Styela clava: one gene and its partners. The protein of the gene in region 3 binds, or shares a complex with, the protein of the main gene of each other region. Links are inferred from orthologs where the notes say so. Each region holds a gene or a part of one and is shown on either strand. Other genes may lie near its edges. The genes, in order: eukaryotic translation initiation factor 3 subunit F-like, eukaryotic translation initiation factor 3 subunit J-like and eukaryotic translation initiation factor 3 subunit H-like.

What was found.
Region 1: eukaryotic translation initiation factor 3 subunit H-like (region 3) and eukaryotic translation initiation factor 3 subunit F-like share a complex: the UniProt entries of both Drosophila melanogaster proteins name them as parts of the eukaryotic translation initiation factor 3 (eIF-3) complex. The link is inferred for Styela clava from reciprocal best matches to the Drosophila melanogaster genes eIF3h and eIF3f1.
Region 2: eukaryotic translation initiation factor 3 subunit H-like (region 3) and eukaryotic translation initiation factor 3 subunit J-like share a complex: the UniProt entries of both Drosophila melanogaster proteins name them as parts of the eukaryotic translation initiation factor 3 (eIF-3) complex. The link is inferred for Styela clava from reciprocal best matches to the Drosophila melanogaster genes eIF3h and eIF3j.

Annotation. Positions count from the first base shown.
Region 1 is NC_135253.1:21,922,437-21,929,578, reverse strand, and holds the start of eukaryotic translation initiation factor 3 subunit F-like, read left to right. Parts: upstream 1-4,068; 5' UTR 4,069-4,118; coding exon 4,119-4,227; intron 4,228-5,326; coding exon 5,327-5,477; intron 5,478-5,766; coding exon 5,767-5,910; intron 5,911-6,837; coding exon 6,838-6,946; intron 6,947-7,142. Other genes in the region: rRNA 2'-O-methyltransferase fibrillarin-like, read right to left, coding at 1-79, 1,464-1,621, 2,808-2,969, 3,583-3,595. UniProt on the Drosophila melanogaster protein: Component of the eukaryotic translation initiation factor 3 (eIF-3) complex, which is involved in protein synthesis of a specialized repertoire of mRNAs and, together with other initiation factors, stimulates binding of mRNA and methionyl-tRNAi to the 40S ribosome.
Region 2 is NC_135257.1:14,143,991-14,151,422, reverse strand, and holds the start of eukaryotic translation initiation factor 3 subunit J-like, read right to left. Parts: upstream 3,017-7,432; 5' UTR 2,759-3,016; coding exon 2,746-2,758; intron 2,543-2,745; coding exon 2,399-2,542; intron 1,603-2,398; coding exon 1,396-1,602; intron 1,110-1,395; coding exon 945-1,109; intron 453-944; coding exon 379-452; intron 1-378. Other genes in the region: uncharacterized protein LOC120346066, read left to right, coding at 5,286-5,469, 5,780-5,847, 6,126-6,209. UniProt on the Drosophila melanogaster protein: Component of the eukaryotic translation initiation factor 3 (eIF-3) complex, which is involved in protein synthesis of a specialized repertoire of mRNAs and, together with other initiation factors, stimulates binding of mRNA and methionyl-tRNAi to the 40S ribosome.
Region 3 is NC_135257.1:9,053,331-9,060,687, forward strand, and holds the start of eukaryotic translation initiation factor 3 subunit H-like, read left to right. Parts: upstream 1-4,348; 5' UTR 4,349-4,474; coding exon 4,475-4,525; intron 4,526-5,702; coding exon 5,703-5,856; intron 5,857-6,250; coding exon 6,251-6,418; intron 6,419-6,545; coding exon 6,546-6,645; intron 6,646-7,293; coding exon 7,294-7,357. Other genes in the region: uncharacterized protein LOC120345504, read left to right, coding at 367-985, 1,097-1,197, 1,452-1,542, 1,732-1,905, 2,051-2,378. UniProt on the Drosophila melanogaster protein: Component of the eukaryotic translation initiation factor 3 (eIF-3) complex, which is involved in protein synthesis of a specialized repertoire of mRNAs and, together with other initiation factors, stimulates binding of mRNA and methionyl-tRNAi to the 40S ribosome.

The DNA of each region.
Region 1 (7,142 bases), on a different chromosome or scaffold from region 3:
CGATTCCTCCTAGAACTGCTGCAGCAAGTTTTGATCGATATGGATTCCACGCTCTGTATTCAATCTTTATGCCATCATTCTGTAATTATATAGTTGAAGTTGAGTGAATATCGTTCTTCCATAAAAAACAAGAAAGTGATATACAGAGTGTCAATATAGCCTTTTTTAAAACTGCAAAGGGAATTTGTCGATGCCATATATTGTTTTGGCACTGACAGGTGTGTTAAATTGAATTGAGAACTGATTTCCTAACAAAATTAAAATTGTAAAGGGACTTTATAGAGCAGGGGTCGGGAACCTTTTTGGTCAAGAGAGCCATAAAATATACATATTTTCAATTGCATTTCCATGCGAGCCATATAACATTTCTTCACTTAATCAGGCCTGAAATGTTTACTCAAAAGTCAACACATACAATGTCAATATACATTTAATGTGATTTCTGATGCTGCATGTAGTCGCTGCGGGCCTTGAACGGTTGCTCACATGCAGCACAAGTTGAAATCTAAGATACTCATCACCCTTTTTCGTTTAGGCATCTCCGTAGTGTTTTTAAAACTATATCGCTTTGTGAAGTCACAATATATGTTCCAGATTCCCCTTGTTTGTCACAATGCCTGTCTGGTAATTATCTTACACAACATAGACATGTGCTGGACGCGCGTTCTCAAGCGTACTGGGAATTTCCTGCCAAATTTGGCTATAAAAGAGTTTGAAATCTCGTAACAATAGTAAGCTTAGTCTTGGAACATTAGATTTTTCTGGGAGCCATATGCCGTCACCAAAAGAGCCATATATGGCTCGCGAGCCATGGGTTCCCGACCCCTGTTATAGAGTATAGACGCTCTGTATAAAACATGTGTTAAAAAAAGTTTCCTCTTAACTATCATGGTCCTTCATCCAAACGTATCAACATGTTTACACACTCCAGTTAATTGGATTTACATATTTATCCTGGGAAAGAGAAAAGCCGATAAGATGGTTTAACCATATGCCAAACCAGGGCCTTTTGTCCGGTTACCAGTTTATGTTGAGTATGGAATTAGTTAGCCAGTTACTTGTTTTCGGAAGTATGGTAGTTCGTAAGTTATTTTATAGATATTTTTGTGGGTCTTGTTTTAATGAGAAAAACCGAGAATTTACATTTCATTGAATTACATTGGATACTGCTTGTAATAACATCCAGAACACACCATGGTCGTGTATTTTGAGTGACTAACCAGTGAGCTATTTTCATACCTGACTTGGGCTGAAAAGATATAGTTTTTCTCATTATTAAATCAACCTATTGGCTTTCCCATGATAAAATCACCTCTTTAAAATCGACCAAAGCAACTTCGCAATTTTTTTTTTAACTGCGAAACACCATAGTACTCCTAACTTCCTTACAGGGAACACTGTTCCCCAAGATAAATCATATTTAATCGAATATATTCATAAAAAAAACATTCAATTTCACGAACCTCAACTTCCACTTTCTTTTCTCCATAGACGGTGTTCCCGGGTACAAGATTTTTCGTCAACAAAGCGTCATCTTTTCCTCTAGCTACGAATATTCCTGGATGCTTATGGGGTTCAACAACCGTTGACCTTCCACCTCTGAACCCTCCTCCACCTCGACCTGCCATGAATAAAGTCAACTTCAATGTAATATCACAGAAAATGCCATCACATGGCACAAACAGAAAAATTAAATCAAGCAAATGCTGCAATAATGACTTCAGTAAAATTTGCTAGAGAACAGCAGTACAAGCACTTTCACGTTAGAAGTTCCAGTGGCTCTTGGCATTTCAGAGGTCGGTTGCAACTTTGCTCAAAAATTAGTCTGCTTTACTTCTGATTGAGTGGGCGTAGTTCTTGGCAGGAGTGTACCCAGGTGGGTTTAGGGGTCGGAACCCCACACTTTTGTGAAAAAAGGATTTTTCTGTGTTATACATGAAAATTTTTCCTATCCTCAAAACGTTTTTTTAGACATTTAAGTCTCTTGAAAACCCACATTACTGCTTCCAGCCGGACCCGCCAGCTGTCTAACTCAAGTGCAGTTTCAAGTATTTTGTGGCGTCTACAGCTGCCGCAAAACCATGGCGGGATTTCCAAACCACGGCCACTAAGACCAAACCCACGGCGACTGACTTTTTAGCTGCCACAAACCAATAGCGAGCTGCCGTGGTTACGGCAGCAAATCGAATACCACCAATTTTAATGCCGTAACCACGGCAGGTCGGCTGTAATAGCAGGGCTGCCCCTAATCTGCTGATGGTGATAAATATTTGGTGAGTTGGAATGTTTTTCTTATGGATACAGTTTGGATGGATTTGGGGTTAGGGTTAGGGTTTAAGTAGATATAATTTCGCATGATAAACTAAAATATGGTACATGAATTTGTAAATATACCCGTAATAGCGCCATAAAACCATGGCAGGAGACGGCGTGGTACGTTCGTGGCAGGAGCTGCCATGAAGTGGTAAGAACTGCGCCTCGTCTAACTTGGCAATTAGAAATTTCAGAACTCCCTCTTAAAAATTCTTCTGTTGTCGTTCGTAACTCTGATCAAAGAGGAGTATCCTTCATATTCAAGTGACTATAAGTGTCTTTGCTTTGGACAAAAATGTGATGTGAAAATGAATGCTTTGAGTGCTTAATAACGCCAAACAAATCTTTTATGCGTCACACAGACTTTAATGTTAATTACATTAAAATTTCACATCACATTTTTGTTTGGAGTTATTTGAGCAGTTGCGGCGTTCACTTAACTACACCCCAAAATCCTGTAAAAATAACATTGATAAAGAGTAAGTCCAACTTACCACGGGGTCCTCCTCTACCCCCGCCTCGGCCACCAAATCCGCCACGCCCACCTCCGCCAAATCCACCACGCCCACCTCCACCTCTGCCACCGAATCCGCCTCTGCCGCCCCCTCTTCCTCCTCCTCTAAAACCCCCTCTGCCGCCACCTCTTGGTGAAAAACCTGAAAAAAATGAATAAAAGAAAGTTTTAAACAATAAATATGAGATGAACCCGAGAAACTTAGAAGCACAAAATAAAATTGAAAGATTCAACGTACTTTTGATAAGGATAGGATTTACATATTTACCTAGAGAGCGAAAAGCCAATAAGACGACTTAAACATATGAGCATAAATAACAAGTGGAAACCTATCAAATATTCTTGTGACACATAATGTTCAGATGTTACTCTATTATGCTTACTTAAACAAACAACACATCACTGCTGTACCGTAAAAGCGCCCAACTTCGGACAGTTCCTAACTTCGGACAAAATTTTTGAACGGCCATATCTTGGATAAAACGCGCCGTATATTGCTAATTTTAATTATTATAGGTTGCGCTGTTATATTACCGTACCACATAGGTATAAGTTTATATCGACAGAATAATCAGCATAACTGGCGAAAAATGATTGATAAAAACAAATAAATAAAACTGATCGCAGAATCAGGAACGCTAACAAAACCTTAAGTAAGGTTTACCTTCAATTTATGAAAATATCACACAAGTGTTGAGCCAGCATAATTAATATACAAAATACTATATTTATATTAAACACATCAAATAACTCACCAGGTCTCCCCATTTAGAAGATAGCACAAAATCCTTGATAAAGTTCAGTAAGTCACAACGCGAATGCAAACCAAGAGCTAACGAAACTTTAACAGCGCAAATGCAGCCAAGAGACCAGCGTGAACAACACACGTGCAATGGTAAGAGTCACTCAGTCGTATCATTTTGCTATATACGTCATGTTTCGTGATGTAATTTTGAGGGTACGTTATGAATTAAATATTTAAAAATATAGATAAAATTATAATAAATATATTTATATGTTTGTTTTATCTTTATATAATTTTTTCAATAGCTGGAGATAAATGATTTTTGTATAGTTGAACACGGAACCACAACCGATAGTTTCCTGAGTAATTCACTTGCATACAGTTACAAGCCGAATCCCAGGTTTTTGAGTTCACGCCTCGAGTATTCGAAAAATACCTGTTAAATCTTACAAATCTTATCTATTTATGATTTTAAAAGATTTTAATATTGTGCTAATTTACATATTTTCCATCAGATAACTCTTAGTACATTATAATATTATAAAAATGTCGGAAAATCGGCGGGTCTGCGTTCACCCTGTGGTTTTATTCACCATTATTGACAGTTTCGAAAGGAGGAAAGAAGATGCAAAAAGAGTAGTAGGAACACTTTTAGGTAAGAATTGTAAAATTAGTGCTTTTTAATTGTAATTTAGTTATGTGACAATATTAATTCATTAGTAATATTCATTTGTGCTTTTTTTCTGCAAGTTTGATTTTGTTCTTGTGCAATCATGAGTATTTCAAAAGGAAATCAACCTATAAACAAGTCACTGGACAAGCAGAGATCTAGAGAGCTCCTTTTAACTTTTCAATTTTAAATATTTTTATTTTAATTGCTTCAATTAATTTTATGAATACTTCAAATGGCTTCTTCGTCAATTCGATTATAATATTAAAGTATTCATATTTCTTTTTTCACTCGTATCGTGAATATTTTAACTTCATAATCAGCATACAAAACGAAGAAATAATTGATAAAAACAAAACAAAAACGAACAGAATAAAGGTTGGAAAAAGGAAAACATTAAAACTTACAGAATCAAAATATAAAAGTGATGGTAGAGGAAATGGCTTTACTGACAGTAGCATTTTATGTTGCTCTCATTTCCTATCACATTGCTGATTTCTCTATGTCAGGGATGGCGAACCACTTACCCGCGGGTGACAAAGTGACCCACCGCGTTTTATTCTTGACCCGCCGAGGAACGAATAAAATAAAAAAAATGCTAACATATCAGTGATAAAAGTTGATGAAAATGGCTTTCAATTATTCCAACAATAACTAAACTATTATAATGTACCGTCAGTTGGCAGTCAGGGCTGCGATCGCTCATATTCAAATTGTTAATTTTCGGGTCGGTATGGTAATTTTCCAAACTCCTAATCTTGTACGGTATCTTGTTTTTGGTAATTCGTACTCTAATTTCATAAAATAGGGTGTCATAAAAAGTCCCTGATAGAAGAAGTGCTGCATAAGTAAAGCCCAAAACTTCACCAACACAAACAGAAGCTTAGGTTCAGGAGTTTCTTATAGATACAAACATTGCTTAAATATCTGTGACCCACTCTCTTCTGTTCCGCGATAAAAATATAATTTTTGACCTATTCATTGAAAAAGGTTCGCTACCCTTGCCCTATGTCTAGGTTAAATCTTGTTGGAGAAAAATATGTCATGACATGAGCTCATCAAATCTTATCCTAACTTCTTCCAGGTACTGTTGATGCAAACGCAGTTACAGTCACGAATGCTTTCTGTGTTCCTCACACAGAATCAGACGATGAAGTCGCATTTGACATGGAGTACGCCAAGAATATGTACGACCTTCATAGGAAGGTCAATACAAATGAAGTGATCGTTGGATGGTAAGAACAGTTTTCCACATTTGGTTTGTTCCCAAGCACACTTCTCAGATTTCAAGGATGTCCTCAGGAGAATATTTATATAACATAAAAATTAAATTTTTTTTTCAACGGGGCATCTGGTAAGACGACAGACGCATTAAAAATGACGATTTCGCAGTCTTTAAAAATAACTGCGAAGGTGTCACTCACATATCGCAAAAAAAGTGCGCTAATAGTGAACACTGCGGTGCATGATACCAATAATAATAACATTTTTTATCAATAAACACTTCTATTTATTCTTCACCAGGTACGCGACTGGGCATGACATTACCGAACACTCTGTACTTATCCACGAGTATTATACGAAAGAAAGTAAAAATAAAATGCCAGTTCATCTCACTGTTGATACAACACTGACTAACGGAGAACTTGGATTCAAAGCATACATAAGGTGGGGAGTAATGAATAATAAAAAAAATTTCATGAGAATTTTTTCAAGGCAAGGTAATAATGCACTCCCACTCAGAGGTAAAAAAGATTTGGTTCTGAGTGAAGTTGCCTTGAGCTACTGTAAGTCTGAAACTATGTAGATTTATTCATTATAGGTTAGTAAAAGCTGATTGACGAGACTTTAAGCTGTTTAAATCAGGGTTGTCCAAACTCAGGCCCGCGGGCCACATGTGGCCGGCCGCTGCATTATCTGTGGCCCGCGCCGGAATCAGAGGGTAATCAAAAAATCGCATTTGGTGTTGTTTTGCCATAAAGTTAATCAGAAAAATCTTTTAACATATTGTTACATCACTGATGTGACTAGTGTTATGGCACTTTTTTCCAGTACACCTGTAGTATGCGTCACAATAATAGCGGACAACGGAACGTGGTATGTGTACCAGGTTAGGGTTAGGCCATAATTTTATTCCAATTTTCTATATTTTAGTTATATTACTAGTTCTGGGACTAGCTATTTGTACGTGAAATTATGGTCTGACTCCAACCTGTTACACAAACTACGTTCCTGTGTCCGCCATCTTGATTCACATACTACAGGAGTACCATTTTCCGTCGAAATCTTACACTAAATGTAGATATAAAAAGACTTATGCAGGTTTTTTTTGGTGGTTTTTGCATATTTTAGCTTGACAAAAGACAAATACTGACAAGTACTTGTTTTGTATTGCACTGTTTACCTATTCTTGGCACTATTTGTGGCCCGCGAATAATGCTAAAATAATTTTGTGGCCCTCGGAGTTGACAACCTTGGACCACCCTGGTTTAAATCTAAAAGTATGATCAAGGTTGAACACAATTTTATATCAATTAGGTGCCAATTTAAGTGATCCTGGAATACAATAATATATATCTTTTCTTTTTACACAAGCTCACCCATTGGAGTCCCAGGCAAAACCCAAGGAATGATGTTCACACCCGTTGATGTGAAATTACTTCAATACGATGCAGAGAGGGTTGGAGTCGACAGAATTCAAACTGTAAGTATTTATGACTCCTTGCACCACCCAGATCTACGCATCTGCAATAATCAACTTACTGAAACTGCAAGACCCTAGTACTCACCAGGCGAGATTAATGTCTTCATAGGATCTTTATTTGTACAATTTAGTTCAAAGCAAGATACAAGCTCTCACGACCCCTTATGTAATAATATCGGTATTTCTGAAGTATGCG
Region 2 (7,432 bases), about 5.1 Mb from region 3:
ATATGATGAATGCACATGCAAAACTGGGGCAGATTCAATCTCGCTTTCCTGAGATATCGCGTGCATCTAATAGACAAACAAACAGACAGACAGATACCTATCAACATTCTTACCAATTAAAATCGATAAGTAATAATGGAAATAACAGATTTGATCACAGTGAGGGAATTGGCTGCACTGTGGCATATTCAGCTTAGCATTGAGAATATGCTTGCTATCATGATGGCAAGAATCCCTTGGTGAAGACGCAGTCTCAAACCATGAATGAAAGGATTTCTGAACACCATACAAAATGATTTTCATAATTAAGGTACAAATTTTTGTGTGTGTACATATATTTTCAATTAATCTGTAAGTCGTCAAAAATCTAAAACATACCCTTTCTTGTTTTGCTTTTTCACTTTGTAAAACATTCAAAGAACTTATGAGTTTCTTCAAAGATTCGGCATCAACTAAGGAAAAGCAGATGAATGAGAAATGCATTGAATATTAAGCAGCTCTGGATGCTTTATTTGTAACAAGTCCTATCTAGAAATATTGCAATTTAGATCAGGAAAATCAGTCAGACAACAAAAATATGTCAGGACATACTAGCTGTCTCCATTATTGTTTCCCTAAAGTAATTATCATGTTAGTTATTATTCATCAAATTACTGATTAATCTAAAAGGATCCATATGGAAAAATTCCCAAAGTGTTTCCAATTTCCAAATCTGCTCGACTAAATTTCACAGACATTTCGAATAGAAAGTCCATTTACAGATGACCCTTTTTAATATAGGCTAGTTACAGATTTTTGGAAGAACCCCCGAAGGTTTGCTCCTTAATAAACATCTACCCAGTCTCATTTAAATACGATGGTTTATGTGACGGATTGCCAGTAACTTTGGGAAAAAATATTAATTATATAGATGAGACTAAAAATACTGTAATAAAACAACTCACGACTTAAGCAAGAATTCCGAAATAAGGTTTCAAGGAAGGATTGATAATGCGGAGACGATTCATATTTTGAGAATTTTTCTGAAATTAACTTTTCGAAATTTATGAAATCTTCTTTAGTTCTTGGATCACAATTGTCTATTGTGATCAAATCAGCAGACGTTACACCTGAAAAAAAAATTTTTTTACACTTCATTCGCTTATGTTGCTGCATTATCACCATTTACATCCTAAAAGATTTCCCCTAAAAATAAAGCAAATTGTAACCATAATTAACCATAACCATAAAACTGACTTCGATATGAAATTGCCATCACAAATTACTATTCCTAGAGTTTTCTTTGTAAGACAGTGTTCGATATAAAAGCTACTTATTTGAAGAAATTCATGACAAAAAATCAGTTATTTTGCTTTATTCTACATATGTTTAACAAATATCAATCAAAAAACCAACCGAATGTATCTTTAGCAACTTCAAAATCAGATTCTTCAGATAACTTTTGAGCCATCAACTTGTCAGCCATAATTTCTTCTGGCGTTTTCTCTGCAAGTGCTGCCAGCCTTTTTGCCTCTGCTGCTCTAGCTGCTTGTTCTTCTTTTTCCTTTAGTTTCTTAGACAGTGCCTTTTTTGTACTTTTCTTTGGTTCTCCTGCAGCTGCAGCTGATGAAGAAACAAAAAAAAATCATGCAAGGCCAGGAATTCAATATAAATTTTCAGTCAAATATGAAGTGAATTATTTCACCAATAATAATAATTTGTATCAAACCTATAAACTGGAAAGCAAATCCAAATTTTGAGGATATCAGTTGAAATCACTTGGACAGAAAAAATTGTTCAATCACTCAAACAAAATATATATTTTTTTTTTTTCAGATAATAATTTTTTTGAATTATTGAATGTGTAAATAGATATTTTCAAATGGAAGAATTCAAGAATGAAACAAAACAAAGTCTTGGTTGATTGGTAGTAGAAACAGCAAAAACTAATTGAATCATTCTAAAATAATATTTTCAGATATGGATTCTATAAACTGTGCCTTCAACGAAGAGAGTCTTTGTATATTCAATGAGTTTGCTTTGCATGTTTGTTGGTCATATTATAAAACTTCCGCTAGTCAATATGATGATATTTAAAACAAAGTCAACCAAAATCTGAAAAATTAATAAATCAACAAGGCTTTTATATTAAAGAACTCAATGGCAAAACAATTACAATATCGAGGGTTCTAACCTAAAAGGGGGAAACCTGTTTGAGAAATTGAGAAAAACCTATATTTTTAATTTTGAATATCCTGTAACTTTTTATTTAACTACTTTTGAACATTGTTTCAAACTATAATTAGATTACCAGCTTAAAAAACAGTACTTATTTCTTTGTAATATTTTTAAATAAAATATTTTTGAAATTTCAACATTAGCCTTGGTCTTGTAAGTTGAAAGCCTAGCTATATTAAACCTTGATTCGGTGTTTCTGGCTTTTTCTCTTCCTCTTCATCATCCCAGTTATCTTTGATGTCATCCTCTTCATCTTCTCCCTCCCACAGATCAGTAGCTGGCGCAACGGGTTTGTCAATAGTTGGAGGTTCAAAATCTTCATCTTCTGTTATTGTAAAAAATATCCTTGTTCACATACATGTAACAAGTGATGAAATAGAAAAAAAAATTTTGTATGATTTAACCATATCTTAACGGTAGTTGTTTGATTAGGAAATTATTTAAATAATTAAAGTCAATTTTACATGTCAGTGCGGTAATACTGTAAGGCAATAATAAAAAGAAACATTAGCATGAACAATATCTAACCCCAATCAGCCATGATTCTTTATTCTAATTGCAGAATTGGCAATATCTTTCTTCGTTCAACAGGATTTGTACAAAGTCAGAAAGTGTTCTCAGTGATAAAACTTCCAGTCACAGAGTCGGGGAATAAAAACTAAAACCCGATGTAGAGTCAGATCAGTGAAGCAATGTGTGAATGTCAGAATGTCTAAATATACTGACTAAATAAAACACAACCTGGAATAATGCAATGATCTAGTTGCTGACTTCAGAAAAAATAAAGTTGATTCAGTGATTGTAAAGTACTCTACTGACCCTATGTTGCAATATTCACAAATAATAAATGATGTACAGTACAGTAGTAAGGAATAGAAACAGAGCATTGATACAATGATATAATCCAAACCCCTCCAAAACCTTCTTCACAGACACCGATCCACACAACACATGTTCAAGCAAGCTGGTACCGTAATTCATGGTTGACAGATCTGTTGGTTAGAACGATCCTCTATTTCTACAAAATACTAATTTAAATACTAAATTTGTCGACCATTTTATCTCTTAAATAAATGAAAAATGCCAAAATAATTTATATAATAAGGAAAGCGAAAATTTTAAAACAATTCTAAAATTAATCCAAGATATAAGGTAAACTGCTGGCTCCAATTCTGGCAAGATACATGAGAAATCTTGGGCGGATTTCCATTTCTTCTCTCTCGCGCCTTATGGCGACTAGTATTTGATCATTCGCCATGTTTGATGGGATAGGATTTACATAGCAATCTTCTCGCTGAATCCTCATCTCCTGTTGCTGAAAAGCTACTGATCTTGACGTTCTAAATTGGGTTAGCCCGATCCCAAATTCCTTGGATTTAAACCTTTTCTCATAGATTTCCATCTAATACCGGAATTTCATTAAAGAACTTTACTTTTATCAAACATTTTATCTGATTATATTTTTCCACCCACTCCTCACAACTTTGGTCTGTTTAGTTTCGAGCATTGTCGGAGTTAAGATTCTGCGGGTAATTATCTATTCTTGAATGATAGCAACTCCTTGAAACAAGAACTATGTGACAGAATTTAAAATTGCATGCTTACCTTTTAACAACAAACCAATAGAAAAGTCACTTTTCTGTATCGTTATTTTGAGAGCAACATGAAATAAGAAGCCCCAAACGAAATATTGTGTCAAAATCATGGTTCGCAGATGGCATTTTGTAATTTTGATGCACTCTTAACAAACTCGGAAGCTCATCTGTTGTGAATCTTCTCTGTCTACCTTGTATGCAGAGGAGTTTTCCGCTTTTCCCACTTTTCATGTTGCACATAACTCTATCGTAAAATCAAGATCCCAAATTCTCCAATTCAGTTCCGAAATACTAACCCCATGGTGGACAATTAAACATGCTATCGACAAAGATAACCTGTGATTTTCTCGTTTGTGGGTTTTCGCAATCCCAATTCTCTGCGAAATCAACAAACAGACCAAGGAAAGTTGAGAATGATTTACTTAAAACTATTTAACCTACATTATTGGTGGCTGATCGTGCTAACTCAGCAATTGGATCTTTTAGAAATAAGTTGAGTGCCCGGCTTAATGATAACAGTTTTGATGTAATCATGTTTATGCAATGCATGAAGTGACAAAACAAAGTGCTTACTCCGATTTTTTTTATCGTATGTAGCCTAATTTACTAATTTTAATTAATCCCGGAAATGAATTGTGTCATCAGTAAATTATATTGTTTATCAGCCAAACAAATTGATAATCCACTGGAATTAATATTAATGACTGTGTGAGGTAAAAGAATAAACATTTCAGTAACTTTTTGACCTCTACCTCAATATTGGACACAGAATGTCAATATGGACATATGTCAGTTTTTATTAAGTTGTATCATATTGATTGTGTACTCATCTACAATTTCTGCAAGATTCACCCTATATGTCATCTATTATTGAATGCATAGTCAAGGATGAGCCCGAGCAAACATCATCAGGAAGTTAATATTTTAGCCTAAATGTTTAACGGACTATAGAGGGCAATTTCAGACAGATGAATGACTTACAACAAATTGCGCGCAAATTAAATCGTAAATTAAAAGATATGGAAATCTAATGAAGCTGCAAGGTCGACAGTCAACTATCGAACCTCAATTATATGATACTCGAACCCGATTTCTGCCATGCAAGCTATAGAGAGAAGGGCGGTTTATAACAGGTAGGCGCTAGAAGCCCTCTATACGCCAAGGCGCAATCAGCTGGGGTTGTTACGTTATTCGTGATGCGATAGTTACGTATAGTTTAATATAGTAGGCAATATTAGTTTTCTATATACACACAAGAGGTGAAGATACCTTTACAAGTTTATCAGTATGACAGTATGGAAACAATAGTCGGCGCTGACACGTAATCTCATTCACGAAGTGTCACAAAGAACAACAAGCTTTATACAATGTAATCCAAGCAAATTCCAAAGAACCAGTAGCTAGTGAAACTGGTGTTGTACAGTGATACTACAGAACTTCGGATGACAATTTGAAAAAAAATATGTGAGTAAAATGGGTTGCTTCTCCAGCAAATCAGTGGAACCGGCAAACTCATCGAATCGTGTGGGAAATCATGTATCACAGGGTAGCAGGCAAAAACGAATTTCAGGTGATAGTGGTATCAGTTTAGAAACGGAAGAAATAGTGAAGTCTGCAGACGAGGAACAAATCGCAAATCATATCATACCAAAGAAGGGTAAGTTTTGTTATTCACAGATCTATGCTCTAAAAAATAACATAACTCAAATATATTTCATTATCAGCAGTATATTTAAATAACACGCCATTGACTGCTACACATTTTTATTCGAAATTTATATCAACTGAATTTAATATAACTTGCAATTTTGTCGCTGGTACTACAAGTATTAATATATATATATGTCTCAATTTATACCAAAATTTCATTTTTAACGCGGAGTAGTGATAAAGAATTCAATCTTCGCTGCGTGAAAAATAGCGTGAATGATCTTTTACCCCTATAATACACATTCTTCTAATTTCAGGCATATCGTTCAATATACCAACATCGTCAAAAAGTATTATAAGAAGTCATCCACCGAAGCGTTTAACGGTAAACATAACAATTGTCAGCTTAATACTAATAGTAAGAGATAATAAATTGTAATCAACAACTGGAAATCCGATCAGGAAATCAATAATATCAATTTTTTTATATATTTTTATGGAATTAGCGCGTTTGAGTTGGATTCGTATAATACACAAAAGCACTGAATATCATCAAAGTAAGGTATTCACAGTATCGGTTTGGGATAATGTTGTGAACTTGAGATATGGGAAAAATGTTCTTTTCCATATTGTCGAAATAACTCAATATTTGTTATATTTTAGTCACGACTGGAAGTATCAAAAAATACAAAATCAACGCTAGAGCCTTTTGGCTCAAATTTAAACAGGAATGAACAGATTAGGCAGGTTTGTGGCCGCGTCATTTTTAATTATAAAAGGATGATATTTAAACGTAATATAACTAATACCTACTGTTCTTGTTTGCTTATCCTATGACCTATACCAATCAGAACGATTTCTATCTGAAATGGAATCTCGAATGAAAGTATTTTTTTGATTACTTTTCACAAAATATTTTTTTGCCATTCAATTTGAAAACTTTTTATCGTAGATTATATATTTCATGCAGCACGACATATTTACTTTAAGCCTTCTCGTATTTCGCATTCACTTAGCATTCAGAAATATTCTCATTAGTGCCCTATTATTTTTATTACTTAGAATGAATGATTTTGTTTTTTGTTCTGCACTAGAGAAAGAGGAAATATTTGACTTGTCCATCAAGAATAACATATTAAACCCGAGGGGATTCGTAAATACCGTTTTCTCAGCACATAGAGTGATAACAAAGTGGCGACAAGCCTGTTTTAGCCAAATTGAAATTTGACACAGTTACGAATTGAAATATTTATATAGTATAATATCGTCACGCTAATAACCGAATTGCGTAAGTCATTTTTGATGATTTTGAGTTTTTCATAAAATAGGTATTTATGTAATGCTGCGCACCTGTCTGTTAACTCAGATTTTATTTTAAGAATTCCGAAACCCCTAAAAATGGAGATTTAGTATGACATGCACGTTTGTGCAATTGTTTCGTCATAATGAATTATCAGTGTTCCAGCAGGACTATTGTGACGTCACAAAGGCAAAATAACCTCGCCGAAGTATTTTCGAGTTTTTGCATCTCGGATTCTAGCTTAGCGCGTATTAATTTGAATTTATACTACAGTATAGGAAGACGTGCACTTGTGATATTCACTGTCCGAGTCCAATTCACCTTGGTTGGCTTTTATATTGGGTGCATTACTGTTTTATTCTTTATATTTAATCTTAGTCTTATTTCGGTGGGTTTGCAGAACGTGTTATATTGATGAAATATATATTTTTAAACATGAAAAATAATGTAATTAAAACAGATTAGCTATTTTGGGGATTAGACATTGTAGATACTGAGAATTACATTCGTTTCTGGAATGTTTAGTTTTCAGAACTGGTGCATATAGTAAAGTTGCAAAATTGCGTATGTCCCCAAGTCATAGACACATTTCTGCCTAAGTCACAGTGCGCCATTATGACGTCACTTAACTGCGTCATACAAATTAACTTAAATCCGGCTACGATCAAAA
Region 3 (7,357 bases):
TGAATTTTCAAACAATAAATGCGACCGCCTAATAAACGACACAATAACGTTTTTACAATAAGGCAGGGCAGCATGTTATGTATTCAAAGACCTAATACGAAAAAGCAGTTTAGGTTGCTCATTTCTGTTATAAGTGCCATTCAAGGTTACAGTTTTCAATTTACCATTAGATCTTTAAATTACTTACTACAAATTCGTTTATAAAAATTCAGCTCCCTAGCCCTACCCTTCGTCACCTACCGTATGTTTTTATCCAAATTGTATCCTATTCTCAGAAACAGAATTCCGAAATGCTATGATTCAGTTTACTACCTAATTCGACATTCAACACGAACAACGGAAAACATTTTTTCACATTTATTTTAGATGATCCAAATTATCATCAGCATCACGGGAGGTTTCCTTTTAATCATGATTACGTCAAAGGCCTTCAATTCGAAGATCAGCATTTGTCTCAAGGTGGCGCCCCGGAACACATCGCAAGTAGTCAACGATTACCTGTAAATGATTCCTATCCTGCGTGTTATCCCTACTATTTTGCCGAAAATATGTATGCAGATGAATACATGGATTCAGAATGCAGCCCAAACTTGAACACTGGAAATAAAATGCCACCCTATGCGCACGAGGACGCCAAGAAACCCGACTATGGTGCAAGCCCCTCAAACAAGAAGCATACAAAACGCTCAGATGAAGTTGCAGATTTGGAACCTAAATTCCGATCACCCTGGGAACTTGTGCAGAACAAAAAGACAATGCCTGAAATGAAGTCTATCGTCGCTAAAGATATGTCACTGCATCAACCGTCTGATGAAAAGAAACCGTCACCTGCCGGAAATAAAGACTTGAAATCCCCTTGGCAACCCGTGTGGAAATACAATTTTCCACATCTTCTGATGGAAGATACGCAACTAGATCGCATCATAGAGCTACCGAAGACAAAGCATGGAGGAAAAACATTCCAAGTCATTCCAAGGCGACGAAGGTAAAAAGTCCATAGGTCATGGAAGCATTGCAAGATAAACGGAATTTCTAACTTGTTTGGATTACATAGCCAACTTCATGTTTATGCATATATTATTACGGAATTTTTCAGGTCAGAATCACCTTCGCCAGGAGGCAAGAGATCTGTCGGAAACAATCGGCTAGGAACTCCATTTGTTGACAAACCGGTAACTCGGTCTGAACCTGATGGAAGTGAGTTTATATATTGCTTCACGAGGAGATTGACGATTTAGGCAAAATTTAAATGATATTTTTGCAAAACCATGCCGATTCATAACTTCAAATTTTCATAGTTACGACAGAATGTAAGCTTTGCCTAAAAATCCTATTGCTAAATCTAATAAACTGGACAACTATTCTCTTGCAACTTGTACAGGCATGGTGTAGTATTGGCCAGTACATCATTAAAATGATATTAGTGAAAATATCACCTACAACTTTTCCAGATTCTTCTCCAAAATGTGAATCAATATGGAACAAAAGTCGACAAAGCAAAACTTTTTTGAAGGATAATGTTACGAAGCAGATTGCTAGAAGGTACATACACAATTGTGTCTCATTTCGCCTAGTTTATTAAGTAACTTTTTGTCTTCACTACCAATTCATTATTATTTTAACACTTTTCGAATAGAGACAATCTCATAGCTGTTTTTATATTAGGTACTAAACCACAAATCATTGGTTGGAAACGTTTTTTATATATCCGAAACGTTTATACATTGACAGGCAAGAAAACGGACACACGTTTTTGCAATTAGATAACAATGGTTCATTAGAATCTCCTTCTCCAAAGGTACTTTCTTATAGCCGACATTTCACGCCGTCCCCAGTACACCAACACTCGCAAAATGAAAGTGACACAAAGAAGGAAGAATCGGATTTTTATGCGAACCAATACAGGTATTTTGTAATAAATTTTACCAAGCAAATCAAGCCCTAGCCCCTCTTATGAAATTATGTCCGACTTGGACCATAAAATTGAATAAGGCATAAGCTAGAAAGATGCAATAGAATTGCAGTGTTTTTTATAAATCATTTTATGCAGGCCTTATCATGAAAGACCCATTTCCACTGCCTCAGACAAATCACGTGATCAAGAGGAAATATCTGAGAGGACAACAAGGCCTAATCATAGTTTGAAATCAGAGAATTCATACAGAAAACTGAGCAAAGCGGTCAATTTTGCTCCGAGCACCTTTCCTCGAATGCCCCCACCATCTTATAGAGAATCTGAAATGACGGACGGAGTTGAAGATTTTGTCGAGAACAATGGTAGATACTTTGACAATGGAGGATGTTTTTATCCGAACGAATTTGGCATTCGGAACCCACTGGGTATGAGCAGAGAAAACGCGTTTGTAAAGCGACAATAATAGAGCCGATCTAGATGGCCTGAATTAAGTAAAACGAAGCTTGTAGACATGTGGCTGATTTCTTTTATTTGTTATAAATTTGACAATATTGTTATTTTATAAACACTATAAATTGTATATATTACTAGCTTTTTTACATGTCATTTCTGCAGTTCCGGCAAAATTTCACTTTTCAACCATGCCGTTTCGATCATAATGTATGAATTAAATTGTCTCTGCTCTTTAGAATGAACGATATGGTATATACAGTAATGGGTGTCTCCAAAATGTCGTGCCCCAATGTACCACGTGTCCAGGAGAAGTGGGACACGTGGTACCCGACATTTTGGAGTCACCGTACAGGTATGATATACCGGGACGTAATAATGTTTTTCGCAGCGAACTATTGTCTTGTGGTTTGTTGGTACCGAACGTGGTTTATCATCATTTAAACTGGATAACTTGCTTTTCATATATCTCCTTGTAAAATTATTGTGCGTAATGGCGTCTTCAATAAAACATCTATATTTTCATTCGATGTGGATTTTGGCATTAATATTTTACAGCAACAGCAAATGCTATGTTCAGATAAAAATATTTAATTCACAATTGAACTCCAGGCACCGGCTGTGTTTCAGCTATTAGATTAAACTACCAACTTTCGTGATATAAACCAAACTGCTCTCTGTCCAAATGACTCTTCTGAGAATGCAAAATACTAGATAAGGGTTGTTAGATTCAGTTAGAACAGGGTCGTCCAACCCGTGGCCCGCGGAAGTATTTCGAGTGCCCCGCGCTGTATTCTTTAGAATTCATTAAAAAAAAAGTTGAGTATATTTATCATTCGAGTGATGTAATGTGCAAAGATATGATACAAACGATATGCTTATTTTCCTGAAATGCGCTCTGCCACCCCTTTCAAGATGCAATAGTCGCTACGTATATACATAAAAGCCATAGCACATACATAAAAGCGAGCTAGCCCCAGATTGAAAATTCGTTAAGAAATGTATTTTTCGGGTTGTCAATGTTTCATGTCCGGAAATAAAAAAAAGGCGTTTGCAAAAATAGGCTTGTCAAGACAGACGGTTCTCGTCTTGTTGAAAAGCTTGGGAATTCTATAGCAGAAACTTTAATTGCAGTGGCCCGCGCACTTAATAGTAAACTAAATGTGGCCCTTCAGTCAAAAAGGTTGGACGACCCTAAGTTAGAATATGGGATTTGTCATTTTCTGGCAGTATTTCACTGTACTGTAAGTTCATCATCTGGCAATGATTTTAAAGTCATATTGTCTCCACGCACTCCACGACTCCACGCACAATGAAATGATTCGACAGTGATCCTCCCATCATATTTGTTGTCCACTGTAGGATAAATTTGTATAAAAACAACAAAATTACGATTAGCACAGTTTCACAGCCATAGCACAAAGATATATATTTTCATTGCATAGCACAAGGAGCTAGCCTAGGAAAACGGCCTATCCAACAAATCGCTGTAAATAGATGAGTTTTGTATAACTTAGCTTAGAAGGCTATAATATCAAAAAGTCAAGAGTTTAGTCGTACCTAAACTATCTATATCTACCTTTAGCATTTCTCCTGGATTATACAGACGCCCCCTCAACAATATGCAACCAGTGAGCGCTGGCTCCTAGAAACGATTGGTCGGTTAAATGTTTCGTGTCGAAAATACGCTACCGGACGCGGCACATGGAACAACAATAAAAAACAGTACTCGTGAGACGCCAGCGGAATACTGTTTACATTTCCCACCGGGGAATAACGAGTTCATAAATTCAGATGTGTGAATAGGTTTGCTAATCGTCAAAATTTCATTTTACAAAATACTAAACTATAAAGGGTAATTAAACTTTTTAGAGTGTTTTAATCACAATATACTTGCACAACAATCGTATTCAACTTTTATTGAAGCTGAAATTTTATCCGCATGGGATACAGTTTGATTTCGCCATTTCACCAAACAGTGATACTACAGACACATGTCACGGTCGCATACGCCACTTTGGCATACACTACAGCTGCTTAATTTTGCGCGTTGCAGGCTTTTGTAGTTTTAATCGCAGGTCTCCCTTGTTTTTTCATTGATTCTTTGCGATGGATTTGGGAATTGGAGCAACGGTTAAAAATGTTCAGATAGATGGTTTGGTAAGTTGTTGCTTTTTTTAGATAAAAAAATCGTTACAGTTAATGCCTTTCAATTTTATATTTGAAAACTCAGAAGGTTGACACTCAATAATACCGGTATCGGTACCCTGCAAAAACTCCACCAGTCCACGGTACCGTACCATATGTCCGTAGTCTATGTATGCCTGACCTCTATTGTATATTTAAAGAGGTGTAGGAAATGGAACATTGTAACTACCGGTATGTCTGCATGTAAAATAATAATTCTACTGTTATAATGTCTTTAGTGTATAGTCTACCCTCTGACCAGTGATAAGCTGGAAAAATCATAACAACCGGAACGCACCTAATTGCAAAAATGTAATAGGCCTATATATATTTGCAACACAACGCGAACATTTACAGAAAGTTTTGTCTGTCCTAAGATAGAGCCGAAGGACTGCAAGGAAATATGAAGAAATTATCTGAAATATGTCGGTGTAAAATTACAAGAATATTAATAGCAATTCAACACAAACATTATTATTAGAAAGGTATAAAATGAATTTCTATGGGGTCAATGGTCCGGAAAACATCTATGACGCGCTACTGCTGTACTAATTATTTGCGTGATGTGATGTAAAAAGAATTATGAATTATGATGTAACAAAACATGAATTAATTAACTAAGATTACCAGAGGAATCGACTTTTTGTACCATAATTTTAAATCAACAACAGGAACGCAAATGCAATAAAATGTCCAACAACTGGAATGCCTTTCCGGTGCGTTCCGGCTACAGCTCACCACTGCCTCTGACCCTAGTAGACATCACAATTGCATAAAATGACTTATTAGGATTTACATATATTTATCTCGGGGAGAGGAAATCTGGTGAGACGGCTTAATCATATAACATACCTCAGCCTCTCGTCCAGTTACCAGTCCATGTTGTATGGGATTGTTAGCCTGTTATTTGTTTCAAATACATTGACTTGCAGATTTGGTGGTGGAGGAAGCTGTAAATGTGAAGCGGTTATGTTAACCACCCTAGGCCCCCAGGATTCCAGCAATCCTTTTAATTATCTCCAACAGGATTTGAACCTGAGAACCCACGCAGGGTAATCAGAGGTGCGGTGGTGAGCGTATTCCTATTGCTGTAACGCTTAGCACGATACGCCATACCACCAAGATTTATGTACTTCATTTTATAACACAGGTTGTCATGAAAATAATCAAACACTGTGAGGAGGACAACACCGGACCAGAACTTGTGCAGGGAGTATTACTTGGACTTGTTGTTGGGGAGACTTTAGAAGTCACCAACTGTTTTCCGTTTCCTCGTGTCCCTGAAGATTCAGAGTTCGATGAAGGTTGGTTACAGTACTAAATAATTTGTTTTCTTAATTTGGTTTTTATTATTTTTTTGAGATATTAAGTTTCATAGGGCTTGGGATGTTCGTTTGTGCATACTCTCATTGATATTAATTTTTTTATCTTTTTATATATTTACTATTTCTTTTAATATACTAGGGATTACAGTCCAAGTCGCAATCTTTTCTTGTTATTTTCGCTATTTATTTTTATTTTGCTATTCAACTTATGAATCCCATGAATATAAAACTAGTAGGCCTATCAAACTAAACATTTTTAATTACTCAAATTCAGAAAAAAAAACTAGCAATATAATGAAGCCCTTGAATTACATGTTGTAGTATCACGATGAAAGTTTTGCAGAGCTTATGATACTTATTATACCCTTTACAGTTCAATATCAGATGGATATGATGAGATGTTTACGTCATGTTAATATAGATCATTTACATGTTGGATGGTATCAATCATCATTTCATGGAAATTTTATCAACAGACCTTTCCTAGAATCCCAGTTTTCATATCAGAATGCCATTGAAGAATCTGTTGTCCTAATATATGGTAAGATTTCTTATATAGCTTTTAATGTTCGGATTTCTATGTATTGAATGTATGATGTATCAAAAATTAATGTTCTTTTTTTGTGTATGAAATAATGTATTTACTCTGACATAAAAATCCTATTTAGATCCACTGAAAACAGGACAAGGAAATCTTTCACTAAAAGCTTTCCGTCTTACTCCAAAAATGATGAAATTGTATGAAGCTGGTGAATTTACAGTAGAAAGGTAAATATATGTTACACTCATAAGGAGATAATAACTATTGCTGTGATGATAACAGTAGTGTGGAGGTTGCTATATGCCCATACACTGTAATATGTATGATAGGATTGGTTTTAAATATTAGCCATTTACTTCATGCACTATTTTCTATTTTGTTTTCTGTTGTTGTCATTTGTTAGAAAATTACTTCGATTGTTTTCAAAGAATCACCTCATAATTTTTGTTATTTCTAATTCAAACTTCCTTTCTCCATTACATGGATAATCTCAAATAATCTATACTCTCGAAGTATGTGAACCAAGATGGCGGACACCGGAACGTAGTTTGTGTTCCAAGGGAGGGTTAGGCCATAATTTTATTCCAATTTTACTCATTTAGTTATATCGGCTCGAGGACTAGCCAAGTGACTCCCGTAGTATTTGTAGTTGAAATTAACTGGTAAACATACTATGTACCGGTGTCCGCCATCTTGGTTCACATACTTCAGGAGTACAAAAAAAACTAGTGTCCTGTGTCCATATCTTATTTGTCTGTCAAGTATACTCTCAGCTGTTCGTTTAGTTTGGATTTGGATAAAACCTCTCTCATAGTTGCCGGTATTTTATTGTACTATTCTCAGCTAAGGTAATGTGATTTCTACTTTATTTTAAGCCTTAAAGCTCAGAAGTTGGGCTTCACAGATGTATATGAGGAAGTTCCTATAAAAATCAAAAAT